4 linked regions of the Caenorhabditis elegans genome follow. The protein of the gene in region 1 interacts with the protein of each later gene in a pairwise test. Each region holds a gene or a part of one and is shown in the gene's direction. Other genes may lie near its edges. The genes, in order: end-3, T27A8.2, mif-3 and pah-1.

The links.
Region 2: the proteins of end-3 (region 1) and T27A8.2 interact in a two-hybrid assay, tested with the Caenorhabditis elegans proteins (one large-scale study listed by BioGRID).
Region 3: the proteins of end-3 (region 1) and mif-3 interact in a two-hybrid assay, tested with the Caenorhabditis elegans proteins (one large-scale study listed by BioGRID).
Region 4: the proteins of end-3 (region 1) and pah-1 interact in a two-hybrid assay, tested with the Caenorhabditis elegans proteins (one large-scale study listed by BioGRID).

Annotation. Positions count from the first base shown.
Region 1 is NC_003283.11:14,012,021-14,017,271, forward strand, and holds end-3 (GATA-type domain-containing protein), read left to right. Parts: upstream 1-2,674; 5' UTR 2,675-2,680; coding exon 2,681-2,936; intron 2,937-2,991; coding exon 2,992-3,081; intron 3,082-3,128; coding exon 3,129-3,384; intron 3,385-3,703; coding exon 3,704-3,830; 3' UTR 3,831-3,957; downstream 3,958-5,251. Other genes in the region: aip-1 (AN1-type domain-containing protein), read left to right, coding at 559-616, 668-762, 810-884, 942-1,162, 1,210-1,267, 1,319-1,420; srh-308 (Serpentine Receptor, class H), read right to left, coding at 3,958-4,133, 4,177-4,480, 4,531-4,724, 5,238-5,251.
Region 2 is NC_003284.9:16,055,901-16,061,321, reverse strand, and holds T27A8.2 (Fork-head domain-containing protein), read left to right. Parts: upstream 1-2,376; 5' UTR 2,377-2,387; coding exon 2,388-2,647; intron 2,648-3,274; coding exon 3,275-3,395; intron 3,396-3,446; coding exon 3,447-3,491; 3' UTR 3,492-3,646; downstream 3,647-5,421. Other genes in the region: T27A8.7 (uncharacterized protein), read right to left, coding at 5,040-5,072, 5,121-5,192.
Region 3 is NC_003279.8:7,311,143-7,315,974, reverse strand, and holds mif-3 (MIF-like protein mif-3), read left to right. Parts: upstream 1-2,449; 5' UTR 2,450-2,450; coding exon 2,451-2,504; intron 2,505-2,547; coding exon 2,548-2,610; intron 2,611-2,740; coding exon 2,741-3,064; 3' UTR 3,065-3,178; downstream 3,179-4,832. Other genes in the region: F13G3.10 (Nascent polypeptide-associated complex subunit alpha-like UBA domain-containing protein), read left to right, coding at 1,701-1,766, 2,076-2,300; Innexin eat-5, read left to right, coding at 4,241-4,408.
Region 4 is NC_003280.10:8,760,893-8,767,697, reverse strand, and holds pah-1 (Phenylalanine-4-hydroxylase), read left to right. Parts: upstream 1-2,486; 5' UTR 2,487-2,626; coding exon 2,627-2,662; intron 2,663-2,757; coding exon 2,758-2,874; intron 2,875-3,282; coding exon 3,283-3,475; intron 3,476-3,527; coding exon 3,528-3,690; intron 3,691-3,802; coding exon 3,803-3,999; intron 4,000-4,049; coding exon 4,050-4,185; intron 4,186-4,360; coding exon 4,361-4,487; intron 4,488-4,531; coding exon 4,532-4,761; intron 4,762-4,806; coding exon 4,807-4,981; 3' UTR 4,982-5,076; downstream 5,077-6,805. Other genes in the region: nsph-1.1 (Nematode Specific Peptide family), read right to left, coding at 1-59, 243-401, 469-498. UniProt on the Caenorhabditis elegans protein: Catalyzes the hydroxylation of L-phenylalanine to L-tyrosine. Catalyzes the hydroxylation of tryptophan to 5-hydroxy-L-tryptophan. Plays a role in the biosynthesis of a melanin-like cuticle pigment.

The DNA of each region.
Region 1 (5,251 bases):
CCAAATTTTCGACGAAATTCGGTTGTTTTACCCTATAAAACACAAGTGGGGCCAAAATAACCAAGTGAGTATTTTGCGTCACACCGTGCAAGAAGGGGGAAAAATAATGGGAAAAACAACTTTTAAATCGTTCGAAAAATCGAATTTAGAAAGAAAAAACAGAAAAAGATGAAAGGTTTTGGGACAAATGCGAGAGACGAAAATCAAAAAAAGCGGGAGAAGGAGGTGCAAAGCGGTTTCGCTGTGAGACCCACCGCACGTTTAATGTCATGCGCCTTTAATCCAGCTGTACGCAGTGACGTCACGAAATACTGAAAGCGTCACGTTTTCTAGCGAATCAGCTGATATTGATTTCAAAAATCTTGAAATTGAATTATTCAATTTTTTCTCGTTCTAAAAAGTCCAAAAGCTTTCAATAATATATAAAAATCAATAATTTCGTAACCCGATGTCTGGCATTTCTGGTAAATTCTAGAATTTTTCCAATTGTCATCATTTCTTGTGTTTAAAAGTCTATATTCTCTCGTTTCCTATCAATATCGTTTGCTTTATTCAGCTATGGCGGAGTTCCCAAATCTCGGAAAGCACTGTGAGAGCACAGTTTGCAACAGACTTGGTAAGTCAACATTTAAAAAAAATTAATTAAATAAAAAAATAATTATTTCAGATTTTCTTCCAATCAAATGCTCCGGTTGTGGACATTTCTACTGCTCAGAGCACTTCACATTTGAGGCTCATAATTGTCCGACTGGCTCAAGAATTGTAAGTGTTTGAAAATCTTTTTTTAGATTAAAATTATTAAATTTCAGTCCGTTCAAGTTCCTATTTGTCCTATATGTGAGAAGCCAGTTCCAACGCCGAAAGATGTCAATGTTGATCAACAAGTAATTATTTTGAAATTATTCCTGCAAAAATATTGATAAAAATTGTTTCTTTTTCAGGTCAATGAGCACATTCAGAACAATTGTCAGACTCCGAAACGTGCAAAAGTATATTCAAACGCGTGTACCGTCCCAAAATGCAAGAAGAAAGAGCTGGTAGCCATGAATTGCTCAAAATGTCGAAACAACTACTGCCTTTCTCACAGACACGAGCGGGATCACAGTTGTGAGCGAAAAGTTGGCGAAATGAAGATAAATCAGAAAAAGAGCTGGACGGATTCGTAAGTTTATTGTTTTGAATAAATCGAATTTCAAGGTATTTTTCCAGAATCACATCAATCGCGCGTTCCCGAATGAATCCATGTTCCGCACAAGCAAGAACAGAGGTTTGTATCTATTTTCAAAAAAACAACTAACTAAATCACAAATGTTTCCAGGGAGATGAAGCTCTGGCTCGTTCTCTACAACAAGAAGAATACAATCGAGTTGCACCGCCGCATCAAACAAGAAATTCCAATTCCAACTGCACCGTCTCATAGCATCCAATTTAGTGTATATTTATTTCCCTTCTCATATTTTCTGTACAATTTGCATTTCTCTTCAACCTTGTTCTAGTTCATATCCGTGTCAAAACTTTTATTCATTTCACTTCGCCAACTTCAGTCCTACTAAAATATTGATTCTTTGTACAATGTTGAATACTTTTTCTTTTTTCTTGATATATGAAATTGTTCACCTGCTTTGAACTGTTGTTAATGGGTGTTCTGGGGTTCACAAAGTAAAATAAGAGTTTTGCAAACTTTTGACTGAAACGAAATTTGGACTTTTCAAACATTTTTTACCTAATTTTGAGAAATGCATCTTTTGGCTCAAAGGTGAGACTCACTGTGTAGGTCTCGACGCGAACAAAAAATATTTCGCGCAAAGGCGTGTGTTCCTTTAAATAGTACTGTCGCCAATTAATTTTTGCAGTTTCTACAGTATATCCCACGTGGTGTCAGAGTGTCCCATATCGGTTTGATCTTCGTAGATCTACGGGAATAGCGGTAATTTGACGCAGATTTCTCAACTACCAAAAATATTTGTTGGTTGAGAATTGAACAGAAAAAGAAGAAGAAAATACAAGCATGTCGAGCTTTACACAACTTTATCTAATAAATATTCAATTAATTTGGATCAGTTTTCTCTTTCAGCAATTACAAAAAATTTTGTTCCGTTAAAATTGTGAATGATTGGATTTGGAGAGAATCGAGTTTTTGGAAAAATAAAAAACAAGAGCAACGTGTTATGGTATTATTCATGTGATCTTTTAAAATGCAAACGTGTATTTTAATTTAATTGTTCCCCTATCAGAACCTCTCTAAATTTCACGTGTTTCAAATTCCCTCTTTTTCTCTCTACTCTTTCACTCTCGCACGTGAAAAACTTCTTTCCGAATGATAATTTGTGTTTAAAATGGAAATTTTATTGAAGTAAAATTTATGAAACAAATACTTTTAGTTTAAATCCGAGATGCACTTCTATTTGAGAGAGCCCACGGTAAATTAAAAAAGAAGTAAAAGTATACCAAACAAGTATGTTCCAAGTGTTCCGATGGCTCCGACAAAAGAGTATACACTGATTGTATAATCGGTTAGATGAATAGCTGAAAGTATACCACGTTCAAAGCACACCCCGCCTTGTGTCTCTTCTAGAAAAAGGCGGTTGCTGAAAAGTATACGGAACGCTGAGGCACGCCCTCTTCTTACCATGATTTGCTCCAAGATAAATGAATAGGCATTCTCATTCAAAGTATAAACATGTACTCGAACTCATTCTCTTCATCATCTTCATCTTCCAACTCACCAATGTCTTTTGATTTTGGATTCCCTCAGTTTCCCGAACAAGTCCAATTCAATGAAGAAGGCTACGGGACACCATCTCCAGATGTCCTCCAGAATATGAATTATCATCATTATCCGGCACAAGATATGACGACAAATTCATACAATGGAGGCTATGACAATTCAATGCAACAGAATTTTATGCAACCAGATAATGGTGCAGGATACTACAGTGAGTTTTAAAAAACTATTTTATTTTACTTTTATATTTAAAATTAATGTTTCAGATGAAAACTATCAACAGATGCCTGATTTTCAATTTCCAGTTCAAAATTTTGATTTTACAAATCAATTTGAATTCACGACGCCTATTAATGGTATAATTAACTATGAAACTTACAGCCTAATCTTAAATTTATTTTAGACCTCCAGCAATCTCAAACTTCCATCAACCACACCAATCCCGACAACAATGAAAATTCCATGCCAGAGATACCAATTGACGGGGGCTTCAACTTTTTTCCAGCTCAAGAAGTTCAAGAATGGAAGCCAGCTAGAAAAGCTTCGAAAAATAAAATCAAGAAGATTTCCACAATGCATATCAACTCTTCGTGCTCCAATTGTGGATGTCGGGAAACGAAATTGTGGAGGAGAAATGAGCAAGGAGAAACTGAGTGCAAGTAAGTTTGAATTATTTTGAATGTTCTATTTAAATTACGATTACAGTCAGTGAGAAAATGTTTAAAAATCATTCCTATGCTGATAAAGTTACCAGATACCGCAATGAAACTTTTTATCATCTTTTTGAAATGTTTTATTCATGTCGAAAAGTAGTAAAAACTCTTTTTTTAACCACTTATCGAGAAATTCAAAGCATTGTCTGTTTTTTGATCGACGATTTTCAAAAAAAAATTGGTGGAAATTTTTTTCACTATTTTTTGAGGGCTCTCTAGGTGTAAAAGTTTTGAACTTGAGTTTTTTAAATCTCATATTTTTCAGTCCGTGTAATCTTTACGAACGAGTCAAAGGACATAAAAGACCACAACATCTTTGGAATAAGCCAGCTGCCAAGAGAAGACGCCGTCCAGTTGCTCCACTTGTTGACTCTAATGCTTTTAATTTTTGATTTAACTGATCAACTCTGTGCAATAAGCATTATTATTTTTCTAATCAAACATGACCTTTCGGTTATAATTTAACTATTTGTTTTATTTCCCCTCTGCTGGTTTCCATAATAAATAAATAAAAAAACTTCATGCTCTTGATACTACAGTTTTCCAGATCAATTGTGAATTTCGAACAGCTTGTTCAGATTTGAAATGTAGTGTTGCAAGAATTGATTTCCTGTGTGGAGTGTGAACAATAAGCATGACTATAGTGGAAAGAACTCCATGACATGCAATTGCAATCATCGCAATGTTTGTGGCAGCTGGAAAAATGATTTTTTTTTTCAAATTTCAGCTTAATTTTACCTTGATTATAGTAATCATTTTCCGAAGCCATGACAAAATATGAAACTGGTAATGAGATGAATGCAACTGGAATAAATATTTGAATACACATTGAATAGAAGAATTGCTTTTGTAAGCGAGCAGTAGTTGCCGAGAGAGACACTGTTTGGGAAAAGTATCGAAAAATTGCTCCGAGAAAATACAATTTTTGGGGAAGACATATGAAGAACATGCTCAAAAGACAGGCATTGACTATTGTATTATCAGTGGCAAATACAAAATATTCCCGACGATTGAGAACTTCATTTGGAATACATGGATTTATCTGTAATTCACTTTTTGGTTAAAGCTTTCAAAAAAAAAACGAAAACTCACATTTTTCACATATTGCTTTGCTACTTCAGGATTCGGTAGTTTTAAATATGCGGGAATAATAAACGTCACTGATATAGTATAATTTAATACAACATATAAGGTACGTTTCCAGTTCAGTGATCCGTTTGTTGTATGCCCATGTATTAGTCGGTGATAGCGATCTTCGAAGAATATGGTTACAGCCACGCACATCACTGAAATATATTGAATTGTTCGGTTCCTCTCAAATTGAATAATTTAAAAAGGAATAGTAGCTTGAAAACCCTAGAGTAAACATTAAATTCGTAACTTGGGGAACTTGCTGTCAAACTTTGGCAGTTCTCTGTCCAACCTTCCAACAAACTTAGTCAATCTTCTGCCAAACTTTGGAAACTTTTGGTCAAACTTAGACAACCTACTGTAAAATTCTGGGATTTTTCTCTCAAACCTTGACAACTTACTCACTCTCGGAAGTTACAAAGGTTCGACAGAAAACTGCCGAAATTGGACAGAAAGTTGTCAAAGGTGCGTTGCCAAAATTTGGCACGAAGTTTTCTTTAAATAAAAAGCCAAAGACATCACAAAAAAATTGGGAATCAAATAATTTGTTATTGAGATTAGATTAATTCATATCGAAACTGAAAACATAATAAAGCTTCTGTTTTCAATAAGACGTTTTATATTTATTATACTATTACCATTAGTTAGCCAATTCAAAATAAACTAACCCCCAACAAAAACA
Region 2 (5,421 bases), on another chromosome or scaffold:
GGTGGTGTTGAATCTTATTGTTTCATTCAACATTGACAAAAGATCGAAAAATGTTTTTTTCATTTTCATAGAATTGTCTTCAACTAGGCTTATACTCTTTTCACTCTCTTTTTCTGCTTTAGTTTCCCACAGCGTTTGTCAGAAATAACAAAGTTTGTATGATTTTTTTCCAATTTTTCCGGAAGAAATTTATGTTGGTAGGAATGTTTTGAACTGAAGACAAAAACTCCTGTAGCGCGACCAAAAACGAATTTCTTGACCCAGAAACGTACCCATAATACTAAAAAAAAATTAGCAACCATTTTTAAAAAAATTCTCCCAAAATTCCGAAATTTTTATTTTTGTTTTTTTTGTGCCTGTATATACCTGTTGAAATTGGAATTCAAGCCAAAAACCCCTGTAGCGCGACCAAAAACGAATTTCTTGACCCAGAAACGTACCCATAATACTAAAAAAAAATTAGCAAACCATTCTCATAGAAACTCTCCAAAAATTTCAAAATTTTTTTTTTGCAAAAAAGTGCAGTCATATGTATGTAAAAAAATGAATTGAAGACAAAAACCCCTGTAGCGCGACCAAAAACGAATTTCTTGACCCAGAAACGAACCCATAATACTAAAAAAAAAATTAGCAATCCATTTTCATAGAAATTCTCCCAAAATTCCGAAATTTTTATTTTTGTTTTTTGTGCCTGTAAATACCTGTTGAAATTGGAATACAAGACAAAAACCCCTGTAGCGCGAACAAAAACGAATTTCTTGACCCAGAAACGTACCCATAATACTTTTAAAAAAATTAGCAATCCATTTTCATAGAAATTCTCCCAAAATTCCAAAATTTTTATTTTTGTTTTTTTGTGCCTGTTGAAATTGTTGATATTGAGGAAACCTGTTGAAATTGGAATTCAAGACAAAAACCCCTATAGCGCGACCAAAAACGAATTTCTTGACCCAGAAACGTAATACTAAAAAAAATTAGCAATCCATTTTCATAGAAATTCTCCTAAAATTCCAAAATTTTTTTTTTGCAAAAAAGTGCAATCATATGTATGTAAAAAAATGAATTGAAGACAAAAACCCCTCTAGCGCGGCTAGAATATAACTTGTAGGTCCAGAAACTTATCCATAATCTTTTAAAAAATTTAGAATCCAAATCTATGGAAACCCTACCAAAATTCCAAAATTTTTGTGAAAAAACTTCTGTCGAATACCATAGGAATTCTTCTAAACTTTGAAAATTTTCATTTTTGTTTTTTGCGCCTATATTTGGATTACCGGGGGGAGTCCCATAGTTATTGGCGGGACATTCAAATTTTCTAAGAAAAAATTTAGGCGAGAAACTCAAATTTCCTGAGAAAAAAAAACATTTTGGCAGGAAATTCAAAGATTCATAGTCCGGAACTAGATTTGCTTTCTTTCCTTGTTAGTAGTGCGGCATTTCTTTTTGCTGCAAGATATGCCGTTGTTGTTCTGCTTATTTCTGGAAAAAATTTCATTTTAATATTTTTGTGAAAATTTTCTGTTTTTCCATGTTTTTCTATGAATAACTTTTATGGAAATTTTTATGAATTGTTTAGCTTTAACAATCCTTCTAACAGTTAGGAAATGACTAAATATTATAATGGATCTTTTAAAAATTTGTGGAATTTTTTTTTATTTCGGGTCTGATCGTGCGCCAATTTTGGAGAAACCAAAACACTGTTGCTTGTTTGAATCCCAACAATATTAAAATAGGATTACTGGAAACGTGAGTCAAATTTAAAACTGAAGGTAACTTTTTTTTTGAATATTTTTATTATGATATTTGGACATTTTTAAATTTTAATGTGAACGAGTTTTAATCTTTTCCCACAGGCCGTTGTCCATCTTCAATTAAAGTTTTTTTTCATCTTTACAATCATCAATTTTATAAAACCTTCAACTATGCTCAGATATAGCCGACTCAAACTTTTCATAATTTCGAAATTCAATTTTTTTTCAATTTTTTTGTTTCCTTTTGATTTGGTCATTACGAGTTCGTTGTCGTGTCAAGATTTGACCTACGACAAGTTGGTGTTGCCTGCAATGCGTGAGTCGCGCGACAGGTCTGCCCTCGTCTTCCGCACACTATTATCGATCGATGGTTTATGGCCGTTTGCTGACATTTGAATGTGCCATTCTCTCATATCCACAGCTATACTTTTTTGTGGTTTTTTTTTTGTTATTTTTCATGTAATTTTCGCCTAACTGAATCTGACGTCTGCACGATTTAAATTTTTTCCCACTCGGCAAGTTGCCGCAATATAAGATCCAAAAAAACAAGACATTTCTGTATTTCCTTTATTATGTACGTGGCAAATAAATTTGAGAACCTTCAACTAACTAAGTAAATTTTCATTTTCAGCTACCATGACGTATTTCACTCACGAAATGAACCAAATTATGGGGCTTCATCATCCGGAAATGGCGATGCCCAAGTTCAAAATGGTCGCCCTGGTCAGTGCTGCGATGGAAGAAGCGGATGACGTGTTTCCGGAGATTGAAGTAGTTGTCAAGTGGATCACCGACTTGTTCCCGTATTACAAAGTGTTTCACGATATGTACAAATGGGAGTTTGTTAATCATGTGGCCTGGGTTCTGGACACCGAACTGTGCTTTCGTCGAGAAAGGTGAGTTTTGTGAAGTTTGTAGAAATATTTTTAACAAAAATTTGAAACATTTCAAATTCTTTTTCAAATATTATCGGAAACTGAATTTTGTTGTCAGATTTGCGTGTAGCGTTTAAAAATTGGTTTTCATATAATTTTCAACAAATTCAAGTAAATCCAGAATGTAATTACAACAAAAAATAAAAATAAAGTTCTGCTAAAAAATATCAGATAACAAGTTATATAGCCAAATCATACAATTGCTGTTCATATAATTTAGACATAAGAACCAGAACTGTGCGGCAACCGGCAACCAAGTTGCCGGTTGCCAAAAATTTGCCGAAATTTCGGCAACCAAAATTTGCCGGTTGCCAAAATTTTTTGGGTTTGGCAACTTCGGCAATTGCCGGTTGCCGCACAGCCCTGATAAGAACCCCACAATTTCTCCAAAAATTTCACCAAAATTTCTTTTTATCAGTTTTTTGGAAAAACAAAAATATGTGAATACTCATAAAAACTGTATTTTTTTGGTTTATAAATTTTGCTAAATTTAATCACTAGCACTTACTTAAGAATAACTCCAAAAAAAACTTAAGAAATAACTCCAAAAACTATTCGTATATGTTTTTTTATACTTTCAATTTGCAGAGACGTGAGATCTGGACTATGGGCTTATGAAGACGGCAACAAGGATATTCTGGATGTTGAGGAGGAGTTTCGAAAGGATATAGACGAGTTGAAGCAATATGTGGAGCATCAGGTGGAAATGGTATGTTGCCATGGAAATTTCAGTCATATTATATTAAAAATTGTTTTGCAGACGGATCTTGCTGGACGGATGTATTCGATGTCCTCAACCGGGTGATCTCTTGACAAGTTTTTCATAAAAATATTTCATTTATACATTAATTCAACTTATTCACTTTTTAGATTTTATTGAACCAATTCTGTATATAAAAAAGTTTCCAGTTCAAAACATTCCTACCAACATAAATTTCTTCCGGAAAAATTGGAAAAAAATCATACAAACTTTGTTATTTCTGACAAACGCTGTGGGAAACTAAAGCAGAAAAAGAGAGTGAAAAGAGTATAAGCCTAGTTGAAGACAATTCTATGAAAATGAAAAAAACATTTTTCGATCTTTTGTCAATGTTGAATGAAACAATAAGATTCAACACCACCTTTTTGATCATCAATCTTCCGAACTTCCACTTATCTGAGCATGTGAGCAACTCAGAACCACCTTGGTTCGGTGAGGGGATTGAACCCTCGACTGTTGACTCCACGGTCGAGTGCTTTACCACACTTGACCATGTTGCCAGCTCAGGATGAGTCACTGATTGCGTTGAGTTGGCGCCATGAAAACGTGGCGCGGTGGCGTAGAATGGCGCAATTTGTGCTGAAAAATGAACACTAAATGTGGGTAAAGTATATATTTCTAATATCAGAATTTTGCACTGATTTCAATGGGCAGCTTCAAATTGTTCAATTTTCAATCTAGCAGAAATTGGGACTTTTGCCAAAAAAAAAAATAAATCGTCAAATTCTATTTGTAAACCACGTTAAACATTATTAACTGTGAAAATGGTAAATGGTCCCATATCAGGGTGTCCCACAAGAAGATGATCTATAACGAAGTATCATAATATATCAATAAATCCAATTGACAACAGGTACTTTTGGTACACCCCTTTTGGTTGAGAAAAGATGGGGCGCAAAAAATAAAGTCATCGAATAAAAAAGTGAGACTGGCACCATTTATAAAAGTGCCGTAGCACGGCGGACAATTTGCAAAATAATTTCCAACAGCTGCAACACAGACAAATTAATATGACTTGAGGTTTTAGCAAAACTCTGTTTTTTTTTCGATACTGAGCTGTCATCAAAACTGAATTGCATTGTTTCAGATATCTATTTCAAAAGTTATTTGAGATAAGTTCAAGTCCGAGTCGGATTTAAGTTTGAAACCACTAGCTAGTCCACCTTCAAACTTTAATTTAGATCAAAAATCTTTTAAAAACAATTTTTGTGGCCACTCGCGCAGGTAGCCATCCTCCCTGCTGCTAAATTCGCTTTTAGGCGGTCACAGATATGGGAAGGGGCATCTGACTTTTAAATATAAAGTGCCATGACTCGTTTTTTTTTTTCAAATTTGCCGCAGGGAGTTGCACATTCTGTGGATAATCAATATGGTCGCTGTGGGGGGTTGTCCATATGGCCAGGGGTAAAAATCGGATAAGATGGTGCTCGTTTTTACCCGTTAAAATTTAGAAAAAAAGCAATATTTTGAAATGCTAAATTGTGTTTATTAAAACCGGTTAAACAAGACAAGGAGTGTAGCAAAAAGATAGTCTGTGAAAGCTAGCGAAACAATATAAAGCAATGTGTGTGTGTGTGTGTGTGTGAAGCCAAATCATTTTTTCCCGCCGAACAAATTTGACGTGTTCTGAAATCAAACTGGATTGCATGTAATGTAAATTTACACAAGTCATACCATCGATGAAAAGTTTTCAAACTTTTTAATGATTTCGGAAACAGATGAACAGGATGTATACGTATTCTCAACCTGAAAGTTGATTCAATTTGGGTAAGCTATAAATTATTTTTTGAATTTAGTGGGCATTATAGTTACAGACCAGGGGTGTGCGGCAAATCTCAAAATTTGCCGAGCTCGGTAAATTCGGCAAATCTCTTTTTCCAATATTTGCCGAGCTCGGCAAACGGCAAATTCGGCTATAAAAAATGTAGAAAAAAAATTTTGGTCGACTTCCGTTAGTGGCAAAAACTGAGTAATT
Region 3 (4,832 bases), on another chromosome or scaffold:
GAGAAGGACAAATAACGATATTGACTCTATCAAAAGGGTATCACACAGTTATGGTTTTTGTGAGACTCGTAAGTATTAAACAACATTAACTATCGTGCGCACAACACAAAGCGCGTTATTTACGGACCAATCGATGTGTGTGGGGACCGCGAATAGTGTCCATAAAGGAGACGCCGGTGGTTGATAAAAAGGAATGGTGGACGACGACGTCCTTGACGAGTCGCTAATGTGAAAAGAAAATATTGATTGTTGGTTGCCACAGTCAGGTAGCTGGCTGAATGAAATGAAAAATGGAGTTTCTACAAACAAAGAGAATCAGGCAGAGATAGCATTTTTTGAGACGAAAAGTGAGAATTTTTCTGTTTGGGAACCTTAATTAAAACTTGAAATTCTATCTTAAACCTGAAGATTTAATTAATTAATTCCAAAATGATCCTTAAGATCTTTTATAATTCTCGTTACTTTTTTTCAATTTCACATTCATCATACAAAAAATCGAGAGACAAAAATTTGAAAAAAAACTGCCTTTTATTTCTAATTCAAAATGAATTAAGGTACATGAATATCTCAAACATTTGAGGAGATCAATATAAGTTCAACATAGCAGACTTTTTTATTCAAAAAATTATGTTTTTTGGTACATTGGCGAAGGATAGAGACACAGATACGAGAACGCTAAAACCGCGATTTAGATGTATAAAATGTAGCGGGGAGAATGGTTGAATAACCCAAGAAGAACCTGTCCTATCGTGCGTATTAGGCACCCAACTGGTCACGGACGACGGTGTCTGCGACGACGACGGCCAATTCGTTCGAATCGATTCGGATTCAGCTGACTTAGAGAATGGAGAATTAAAGAAAATATTTTTGATGACTGACTGATTATTACACATATAAGTGGAAGGGCAGATTTCCGAAAAATAGAAATGAAACGCGTTTCGAGTGGTTTTCTAAATAAAACAAAATGTTGCGCAATCGGAAAAGTCAATTCATGCATGCATATCCGGTGAAAAATAAACCGATTTCACCAATTATGGTAAACCACTTCAGTTAATTCAAAAGAATATTATCATTTTAACTGGAAAAACAAAAAATTCGTGTGCAAGAACTTGACAGAAACATGAGACAAAGTTAGATGGAATAAAATATGGAGGATGTTCTCCTTTTATCAATCCAATCTGAATCATAAATGTTTTTGATTCGTCTGCATCAACATATGTGACGTAAAAAGGAATTCAGTTTTATTTCAACGTTCTGACGCAAGACAGAATTTGTAAGAAAACACCGAATGTTCGATACTACATAGAAAATTGAATTTGTAAAAAAAAGAGAGAATTTAGTGAAAAATCGACATGAAATGTGACAAACACAGGAAAAATACTCGGAAAATGGAGGACCATCAATAATTTAAAAGTGCCGAACGACACTCCGTTCTAACGACTGGTCGTTGTTTAGCGCACCAAAAATAGAATTTAAATTACCGCGCTTACACAAGACAGAGTAAACAACACGCATCGCGTGATTTCGGAGTCTTGTTGGCAATTGTGTGTTGTTTTTTGCCGATTTTTTTTTCAGTTTTTATTTTTGAAAGAGCTGATTATTACAAATTCCAGCGATATATTTTCTGAATTATTACTTTTAATTTATCGCTGCACCGTTTACCTTTTTCTTATCTGATTCATTAACCTTTATTCTAGAATATGGGCGAGGAAGACGAAAAACAACAGGTGGACAAACACAACTGGGGAAGCGAAGAACTTTCTAAAGTGAGTTTCAATTCAATTTATTTTTTCAAAAATAATGCGCGATGAGTTGTCCTCTCTGTCCGTCTGAACCTTTTCATCCTCGTCCAAGAGGGCAAATAGATGCATTTTGCTCTCCTCCTGGGGGTGTAACAATCGCGACCCGTTTCTCTCCCTCCCACTGCTTCCATCGAATATTCTCGTTTTTTGAAGGCTGAATTCAGCATGAGTTCGAACGGGGAAGAGAGTGATTTCGATGAGCATTACATTCCAGAAGTATGATTTTTATTTGCATTATTAACATTTTTCCATTAAAATTCTTCATTTATTCAGGTATCCGACACTAGAGAAGAGAAAGATGATTTGAAGCTCAATACTGACGCTCTTGGAAACTTGTTCAATGCTTCTGCTCCCGCACGGCCCAAGATTAATATCAAGAAAGAGGATCTGCAACTGATTATGAATGAATTAGAGCTTCAAGAAGGAACAGTTCGTGCCAAACTTATCGAAACAAATGGAGATGTCCGTGAAGCTCTGCGATCTCTTTGTGGCCTTTAATTGATCGTTTTTACTTGTTGGTAGAATAAAAATTGTTTTTCTTGTCAAAAAGTTTATTTAACTCTCCCTAATTAATCGGAATTTAATACCATTCGATATCTATCTTCACTGTATGTAAAATCCCCAGTTTTCACCATTTTTGTGTGCAGAATGCCCGTCATCAAAGTGCAAACAAATGTCAAAAAAGTATCCGATGGGTTCGAGGTAAGATTAAATCTTTCTTCAAAAATAAGCCTAATTTTTTCAGGTCCGACTTGCAATTCATATGGCGAAAGTGATGAAACGTCCTGAAAGCCAGATATTCGTCTCGGTGAGTAGTTTTATAATTTTACCCGAACACTACTATATTGTTAAAAAACAACTACTCATTTCTGAATAGGTAACTATAATTATTTCAATTTATGATATCGTATTCACGACAGTTAAATCAACTTTTTCAGCTCGACATGAATTCTCGAATGACGCGAGGACAATTGACTGATCCCTTAGCTGTTTTAGATGTCACATCATCCACAGTTCTTACTCCGATTCTCACCGAAGAATACACGGTTGCTCTCTGTGAATTCTTCTCGCAGGAGCTGGCTCTAGATTCTGACGCAGTCCTCATTAATTATCGATCGCTAAGCCCGGAACTTATCGGATTCAATGGACATATTCTTACCGAAAATCGACCATTCATCTCTACAGATCGTGCTCGCTTCATTATTGGAGTTCTAGGCATTGCGTTTCTTGCATTCCTCCTTCAATTCCTCAAATATATCTGAACACTCAATTCCATAATTGCATTCCCTCAATTCAATTCACTTTTCAAAAATTTTAACCCAAACGGTAACTCATTTGTAAATAATTGTAAAATCATAATAAAAGTTTATCAAAACAATCTTACAATTAGTGCGAGAAACATGAGAAACGGCACTACTCAGAAGTTCGGATTGAGAGGAGATTCTAAATATCGAAGATCTAATCGAAATTTTGTCAGGGTCCAACTGTCGAAATAGGCTCGGACAGAATACTAGGATCTCCAAACTTGTTTGAACCCTCATTTCGTTGCCACCATAAATCTGAAAAAGTTCTCCCAATTTCATTATATTTTTGGAATTTCCGAATCAAAATTTCGGAAAAATGAGATTTTAAATGTAATATTATTAGTGTGATTTTGGCGCTAAAAATACGGTGTCTGGTGTGTGGTCTCGACAAATTTTTCCAAAATGTAAAAGTATGTTCGTCTTTGAAGAATACGTGAGCAAAACTGTTAAATGGCGATTAAGGTTACGCAACAACGAGTGTTTCAAACTACAGTACTCTTTAAAGGCGCACACCATTTTGAATTTTACTAACAATTGTCGTGTCGAGACCGGGTACCGTATTTTTGGCGCAACTTCGTTTTTGTGTAATGAATTTTTTATTAAATAGCTCCCCCTTTGCTTAAAAATTCACAGATTGTGAGAAATTAAAAATTAAACTGAATGTGAGACGTGGGAGGAGCCTAAATAATAAGCAAATTGAAAATAAGCCACGTTTCATGTGTCAATTATCTAATTTGATAATATCATCCCGTTCTTACAATTAGTCCTAGTTAGTCCTTTGACAGTCGTGCCAAAGAGCAGCGCCCCCGCTCTTTTTGCCAGCTCCGAGAGCAATAATCCGCGCGAACTCCTCTCCACTACACTGTTTGCGTAATAATCATCATGTCTCTCTGTCTTGTATATATCACTTACCGTTGAAATGTATCAGTGTGTCAGTTCCCTCATTCTATCTGTGTATTTTAGTGCTTCCACAACCTCGAGAAAAGCCTCTCGAGAAACATAGAAAATAAGAAGAAGAATACAGTTTAGAAGTAGGCTCTTCGTCCTTCTTCGTTCCTCTTTAATTGTCCTCCTAGAATCCCAGAAAAGAAGCAGAATCCACGTGCAAAGGGCACTAAATCAATTGGAGGCAGCATGAATATGCTCGGGAGCATGTTCTCGATGGTCAAACCGAGGCTGGATGACCTCGGTACTGACCGTCTCAATTACTATTATTCAACTCTTATTATTATGGGAATGTCATTGACAATTACAGCAAGACAGTATGTCGGATCACCATTGCAATGTTGGGTTCCTGCTCAGGTATGTTATGTCAGTGATGACGCAATTAATTTGAATATAGTTGGGTCCTGTGCTCAAACCATGTACATGTTTCGCATATTATCGTGTCAAGAAACCTCTTAGATTTTACGAGAATATGCACTGGGGATGAACGAAACGAACTAAGCAGTTAGTAACAGTGAATACTATTAGAAGACTGTGAAACTCCTAATACTTAATTTGAAGTGTAAGTGTATTACTGAGTAACCATTTGGCTATTGCCAAAACTGTTGGAATTGCCGAATACCGGAAAATAAACTTTGAGGTTGAAGACATTTTGAGCTTGGAAAACAAGCATGCGTACGCTGTTAGAATCTATGAAATTTCAGAAATGTATTTTTAAGGCTAATTGAAAATTGAGTTGACATGGGAAAACCTATTTCATTTAAAGCTTCATTCAATTAAG
Region 4 (6,805 bases), on another chromosome or scaffold:
TGAAACTTGGCAAATCGATCCAGCTTTCCAGAGCACATATCTACCGTTGGTAAAATTCCCTGTAAAATTGGATTGATTGGCCAAGGAATCAAAACTTCGTGGTGGCTCTCCATATTTTTTTGTATTTTAATATTTTAATACCGCTTGTAAGTTACCTTTTATGCAGGCGAACTTGCATACTTGCAAGTTCAAATAATTGGAAGTCTATTTTTAATTTCTGAATAGTTATTTTTCCAGTTTACCTTCACCACTCCAGAATCGTTCCAAGCTCTGCCCATCACTGGTTTTCCGTGTTTATACCATAATGCGACGTACTTATTTGTCTCACCAGGAGCTTTTGCAACATTTGGTGGAAAAGGTGTGCCAACTTTTTGTAATGTCCAAATATCGTCTATGTTTCCCTGAATAAATCACTTGCAGAATGTTTGAATGCGTGCAATAGCCATCAAATAACTGAAAGCCACTCACCTTTTCCATTGTGAACCCTTTCCTATCCATTAAAAATTTAAAACTGATTTGATTTCACTGTTCCGACCATTTTTTTCTATCTGGTTCACGTAATAACGAGTTTTCTGCTGAACAAGTTTATTTAAATTTATTTAAAATATAGATAAAAATGGAAGGTCAGATTGGATATCTTCCACGCGACTCGGTGCATTCAAGATATAAGATGATAACGTAAACTGATGATTATCCCGGCAGTACCTCCTTCCTTTTCCTTTTTCGTACATTCCATCAGTTATATTATTGGTCTGTTGAGTCCAGCTATATAAGGATGAATATTGATGAAATTAGAAAGGTATGTTTGATCCATTTTTCTCAATATTATGATATAATTTTTGTACATCGAGCTCTTTATTTATACTAGTCCAACGTCAAACATTTGCATTTGTAATAAGAAACTGATGTTTGCCAAATTATCTGAAAAAAAAAATCAATTTGCTAATTTTGAATATTTTAAAAATACTTTTTTTCGGCCATACTTTAATTTTTCAAAAAGAGGGTAACAGCTGAAAATACATAAATACAAAGTCCTACCAGGCGGCCTATGCCAGCCTCTATTGCCAAAGTATACGTGATATCCGTGGAAGTTACAATCTAAACAAAAATTTGGTCAAAACTACGGAAATTATTAAAAAAAATTATAGAATTTGTTATCATACTATTAGAAAATTGTTAAATAATTTCAATTAATTAAAAACTGTTTGAACCAAAATATTTTGCTATCTTCAAAAGTGTTATCATCCTTATATTTTCCCCTGTTTTCATCGAAACCGTCGCTGATCAGTTGATCTCGTACACGAGTATTTTCAAAATTTCTCCATTTTTTATGATCAACCATCGACTAAATTAATTGTTTCAATGCTGTATTACTGTTCCTATTTACCTCATTGACATAGACATCTCAGATCATGGTCTGCAGAAGATTCGCGTTGCAAACGAAAATTTTCACGAAAAGTTGATAAAAGCCAGTCGGACATCATCAACTATTGATCGTTTCTGCCGTTTTCAAACTGATTTATGACATCGTCTTGTCTCATCCATTCATATAAATTTCTTTCTTCTAAATTTATCATCCTAAAATGTCAGACATTCAACCAAACGTCCTCCTATATATTTCCATCTAAATATTCCACGTCTTCATCTCATCTCATTTTCCTTCCTTTTCACAATACAAAGGATGCGTCAACCAGTTTTCATTATTGTGTTCTGTTGATTTTTCTCAGCGTCCCCCTCCTACTTTCGATTCGATACACCATGATTTTATGGCTTTTACCGTAACCCATTTGATCGTTTCAAAGAAAACTTGGTTTTTTCTTCAATCAAAACCATTGAAATGTCTGTTTAAGGTCAAAAACTAAAATTCGAGAAATTTGAGGAAGTTGAAAAAAAGTTTTGAACGAGGCTCGTCACAAGGCAGTCGTAAGACTCCAAATTCGGTAAATTTACTCAACAAAAAAAACCTGTTTCAGTTTCCCCTTTTTCAGCATCGTGAAAAAATGAAACATTCCACTATCCATATTTAAGCTTCATCAATTAATTGAAATTGAAAAATGACTGTATGTAAGCACATACGCCTGAAAAGGCCTACAATCCAATTCATACCCAACGTCTTAAATTTCAACTCAACTAGAAACAGAGATTTACATCTATTTTACGAAGAAGATCCACTGGGGCATGCTTTCTTTTGGAAGTTCAAACTGTATTTCATTGATCATAATCATATCTTTTATTGTTCAGGCGTCCATTTGTCTGTGATCTATTTCATATCATTTTCCACGTGCTTTCAAGTTCATCATCTGACTGTTCTTCTTCTTCTTCGTATTTTTTTCAATTTCTTCCAACCGTTCTTCTATCTCACACTACACTCTAATGAAAACCCACGTGTAGGTTGTGTATGGGTAGCCGCGAGTCTCCTCCCACGTGGATTTTTCTCTGCAGAATGGTATTGGGGGCCACACGAATTATCTAGTTCATAGGCCACGCCTTGTATCTCTAGGCTTCTGAGTCTCCAGCTATTTCGTCTCGTATAAACGGCAACGTACGGCTCACGTTTTGTCTCTGTTTAATTCTTATTTCCCGGTGACTGTCTATTCCTCTGAAAACCAAATCTTGTTCTCTGAAAATGCCACCAGCTGGACAAGATGATCTTGACTTCTTGGTGAGACCTTCCTTGTTTGAACTGATCAAGAAAAACTTCTGTTTGAGAATTTTGTGTAAAATTATTTCCAATTACTAAAGTCCAACTTATTTCAGAAGTACGCCATGGAATCGTACGTTGCTGACGTCAACGCCGACATTGGCAAGACTACTATCGTATTCACTCTTCGTGAAAAGGCAGGAGCTCTCGCTGAAACATTGAAGCTGTTCCAGGTTAGTCATGAAAAAAACCAGACTAGAAATGTCAGAGGATCATGAGACTTCAGAGGATGACTATTGCGTCAGCGACACTTTTTTTTTTAAATCTTATGATTCTCACGTCTACTCTTGATCAGGCGGTTTAATATTTTATGCATCATAAAGCGTTGAATAATATGATCTTCAATTATGTTTAGACGGTTGAGTAGACATAGAAAAAACATTTATATCAAATTAAAATTTGAAAATTTGCACCAAACTGTTTCTAAATATGATAAGAGATAAACTACGTAGTTGCATTTTTTAATCCGGTTCGCGATTTTTGATTATCAAAGATGTCGAAAATCGTGTCACGAGAAAAAGAGATCATATCAATTGTCTCAAATTCCTACCAATTACATGCTTCATTACACATTCTTGCAGGCACATGATGTGAATCTGTCTCACATTGAATCAAGACCATCAAAGACTCATGAAGGATGCTATGAGGTGCTCGTTGAATTTGCTGAAGCTGAAGACCATCGTAAGATTGAAGGAGTTATTGAGCATTTCCAACAAAAAGCTGAAAAGAAGGTTCTTGTTCAAGACTGGAACACCAAAAACAAACAAAACAAGGGTACGCTATAACAATAATGAAACTCACAGTATTAAATTCAAGAGCTTTGTAGATTCTGTTCCATGGTTCCCACAGAAGATCAACGACATCGATCAATTTGCCAACAGAATTCTTTCTTATGGAGCTGAGCTTGATGCCGATCACCCTGGATTTAAGGACATGACCTACCGCGAGCGCAGAAAGTTTTTCGCCGATATTGCATTCAACTTCAAACAGTAAGTCATTTCATCAACAAAAGTAGCAATATGTGCCAATAAATATGTAACATTGAAGGCGTACTGAATAAAATCCAAAAAATCCGAATTGCAACCTGATCGTACTTTCCAGCGGAGACAAGATCCCTACTATCACCTACACTGATGAAGAAATTGCCACGTGGCGTACAGTCTACAACGAGCTGACAGTTATGTACCCGAAAAACGCTTGCCAAGAGTTCAACTACATATTCCCACTCCTCCAGCAGAATTGTGGTTTTGGACCTGACCGCATTCCACAATTGCAGGATGTTTCAGATTTTTTGAAGGGTAAACAAATCATTATCATCTGATTGTTTTTGTATTTGTTTCGTGTTCAGATTGTACCGGGTACACGATTCGACCAGTCGCTGGTCTTCTTTCTTCTCGTGATTTCTTGGCTGGTTTGGCCTTCCGTGTTTTTCATTCCACACAATACATTCGCCATCATTCCGCTCCAAAATACACACCTGAACCGTGAGTTTGAACATGATAATTTTAACCGAGGGTGGGATTTCGTAAACGACTTTTGCTTTGAAAAAATTGTGAAAACTCTATAGTGCAACATAAAAGGAAAATAAAATCTAATCGGTTGATTATCATCTGGATATATTCTGAATTTTTGACAATAAGCTGGAGATGTAACTTTCAGAGATATCTGCCACGAGCTTCTGGGACATGTTCCACTATTTGCTGATGTTGAATTTGCACAATTCTCACAGGAAATCGGTCTTGCTTCTCTTGGAGCTCCAGATGATGTTATTGAAAAACTTGCCACAGTATGTTTGAACATTGAAACCCCCTTTTTATTTTGAAATATTAGCTCTACTGGTTCACAATCGAATTTGGAATCTGTCAACAAGATGGGGAGAAAAAAGCTTACGGAGCCGGACTTTTGAGTTCATTTGGAGAGCTTCAATATGCGTTGAGTGATAAGCCGGAAGTTGTAGATTTTGATCCAGCTGTATGTTGTGTCACCAAATATCCAATCACAGAATATCAGCCAAAGTATTTCTTAGCTGAATCATTTGCAAGTGCTAAGAACAAACTTAAGTAGGATCAAATAGTCAGTTTCAACTGTAATCTAGATAATTTCAGATCATGGGCAGCTACCATCAATCGTCCATTCCAAATTCGTTATAATGCTTACACTCAACGAGTTGAAATTCTCGACAAGGTAGCAGCACTTCAACGTCTCGCAAGAGACATCAGAAGTGATATTTCTACTTTGGAAGAAGCTCTTGGAAAAGTGAACAATCTCAAGATGAAGTGACTTTTTGATTAAATTGTTAATTTGCAAGAATAAATGTACATTGTTCTCAATGTTTGTTGAATTACAAAGAAACCTGAACAACAATTACAAATTTGTCCATGCTGCTCGATTTACAGACGATTTTTAAACTACCTACGATGGAGTTACAACTATGATGACTGTTCTAAAAAACATATCATATTCCCTTAACTCCTTGAAAACAGGGAAATGTGAAAACTAATTAATTAAAAATAGTGTTCACCGTCGTTGGAAGCAATGCACTGAAATGAAAATAAACAATTCGAAGCCTTGTTCACTTCCAATTGTTTTGTTTTTTTTCTCTCGCCAGGATTAACGCGTATTTTTCCAACATTTTTCCGGCATCTGAAACGATTTCCTTTTCAGCAATTACTTTATTTGAAGCATCACATGAAAAAAGTGCGAAAAATTGGTGTGAGCACCAAAATGTTTCCCAAATTAAAGCCAGTTATCCATTTTTGTTGCAAAAACCACGTCATCTACGACAGCGAGTGTTTTGGTGTGAGTGATCTAACTGCGAAAAACGAAAACTGTGCATATAAATTGTCATGCATTTTTGATTATTGTTTAGTTTTTGTGTGTGTGTGTGTGTTGTACGGAAGTCTCGTTGTGTGTCCAAAATGAAGTGCTTTTGACTTCATCTGCAAAAAGAAGTAAAAACTGGCACTGAGTTCTCAAAACTAGGTTATGCAAATGTAGAGGTCTAGTGAAACATTTGTATGTGCACTTTGTTATCATTTTAAAGGTGCGGCTCCACGTACATTTAATCAATTCTTTTTCTTCTTATGTTGTCTTCCTTTCTTATCATGATTATTACAAGCATGCGTTTTCAACTCCTTTTCAATTCATTTTTTTTGGAAATTAAATTGAATTTGTGTTTAATCAAAACATCAATTTTCCCAATTTTAGTATCTAGTTGGCACTTGTGTATTATTTCCCTTATTTTTAAAAAATAAGTTTTAATATTTTAACCATAACCAGGAAATAACCGTAAAGAGGGAAAATGAACATCATGTTTTATTAAAATGGATAAATATATGGAATTTAAAAATGAGGGGAAATAATACACAAGTACCATCTATTTTACTTTAAAGATTGGCCAAATAATACATTCGGGTGTATTTTTTGTTTAATTTTTTGCAAATCTTCAAAGAGTAATCCTTTTGTTTAACCAATTGTTTCACTATTAAAATATGATTTTGATAGAATAAAATAATTGGAAACATATAGTACTGCCAGCTGTGTGAACATGCACACTGTTTGCATTCTCAATCGAATATTTTCCCTCTTTCCCTCGACCCACGATTTTATTATTTTTCATATTTGGAATGGAAGACGGTCAGCTTTTTATAGTTTTTTTTGTCTATCAAATAAACTTTTTTCAGAATCAGATGAAAAACATTTTTAAAAAAACTCAAAATTATATCTAAAACACGAACATTTTAAATTATGTTAATTCTTTAGAATTTTCCCAATTATACTTTAATTGACAAAAAATCAACTGGAAAATTTTTTCAACAAAAAAACATTTCTTTTCCTGTTTTACAGTGATTCACATAAGCATATTGAAAACTTGTGCATTTGTTTCTTTTGTCCACAACTTTTTTCCGAATCAAAACGAAATTTTCTTCGAGACATAAAAAACTGATATTTCAAAATTAATTTTTTTGTAAAAAGGCAGTTTCCCTCGAAAAACTTGAATGCTTCGTATTGGTTTCAAATGTATTAAAAAAATCAGCGAAATATTGATCAACTTTTATTGCAATATATTCATAATGTACACTTCCACCTCCTCCCTTTCTCGTC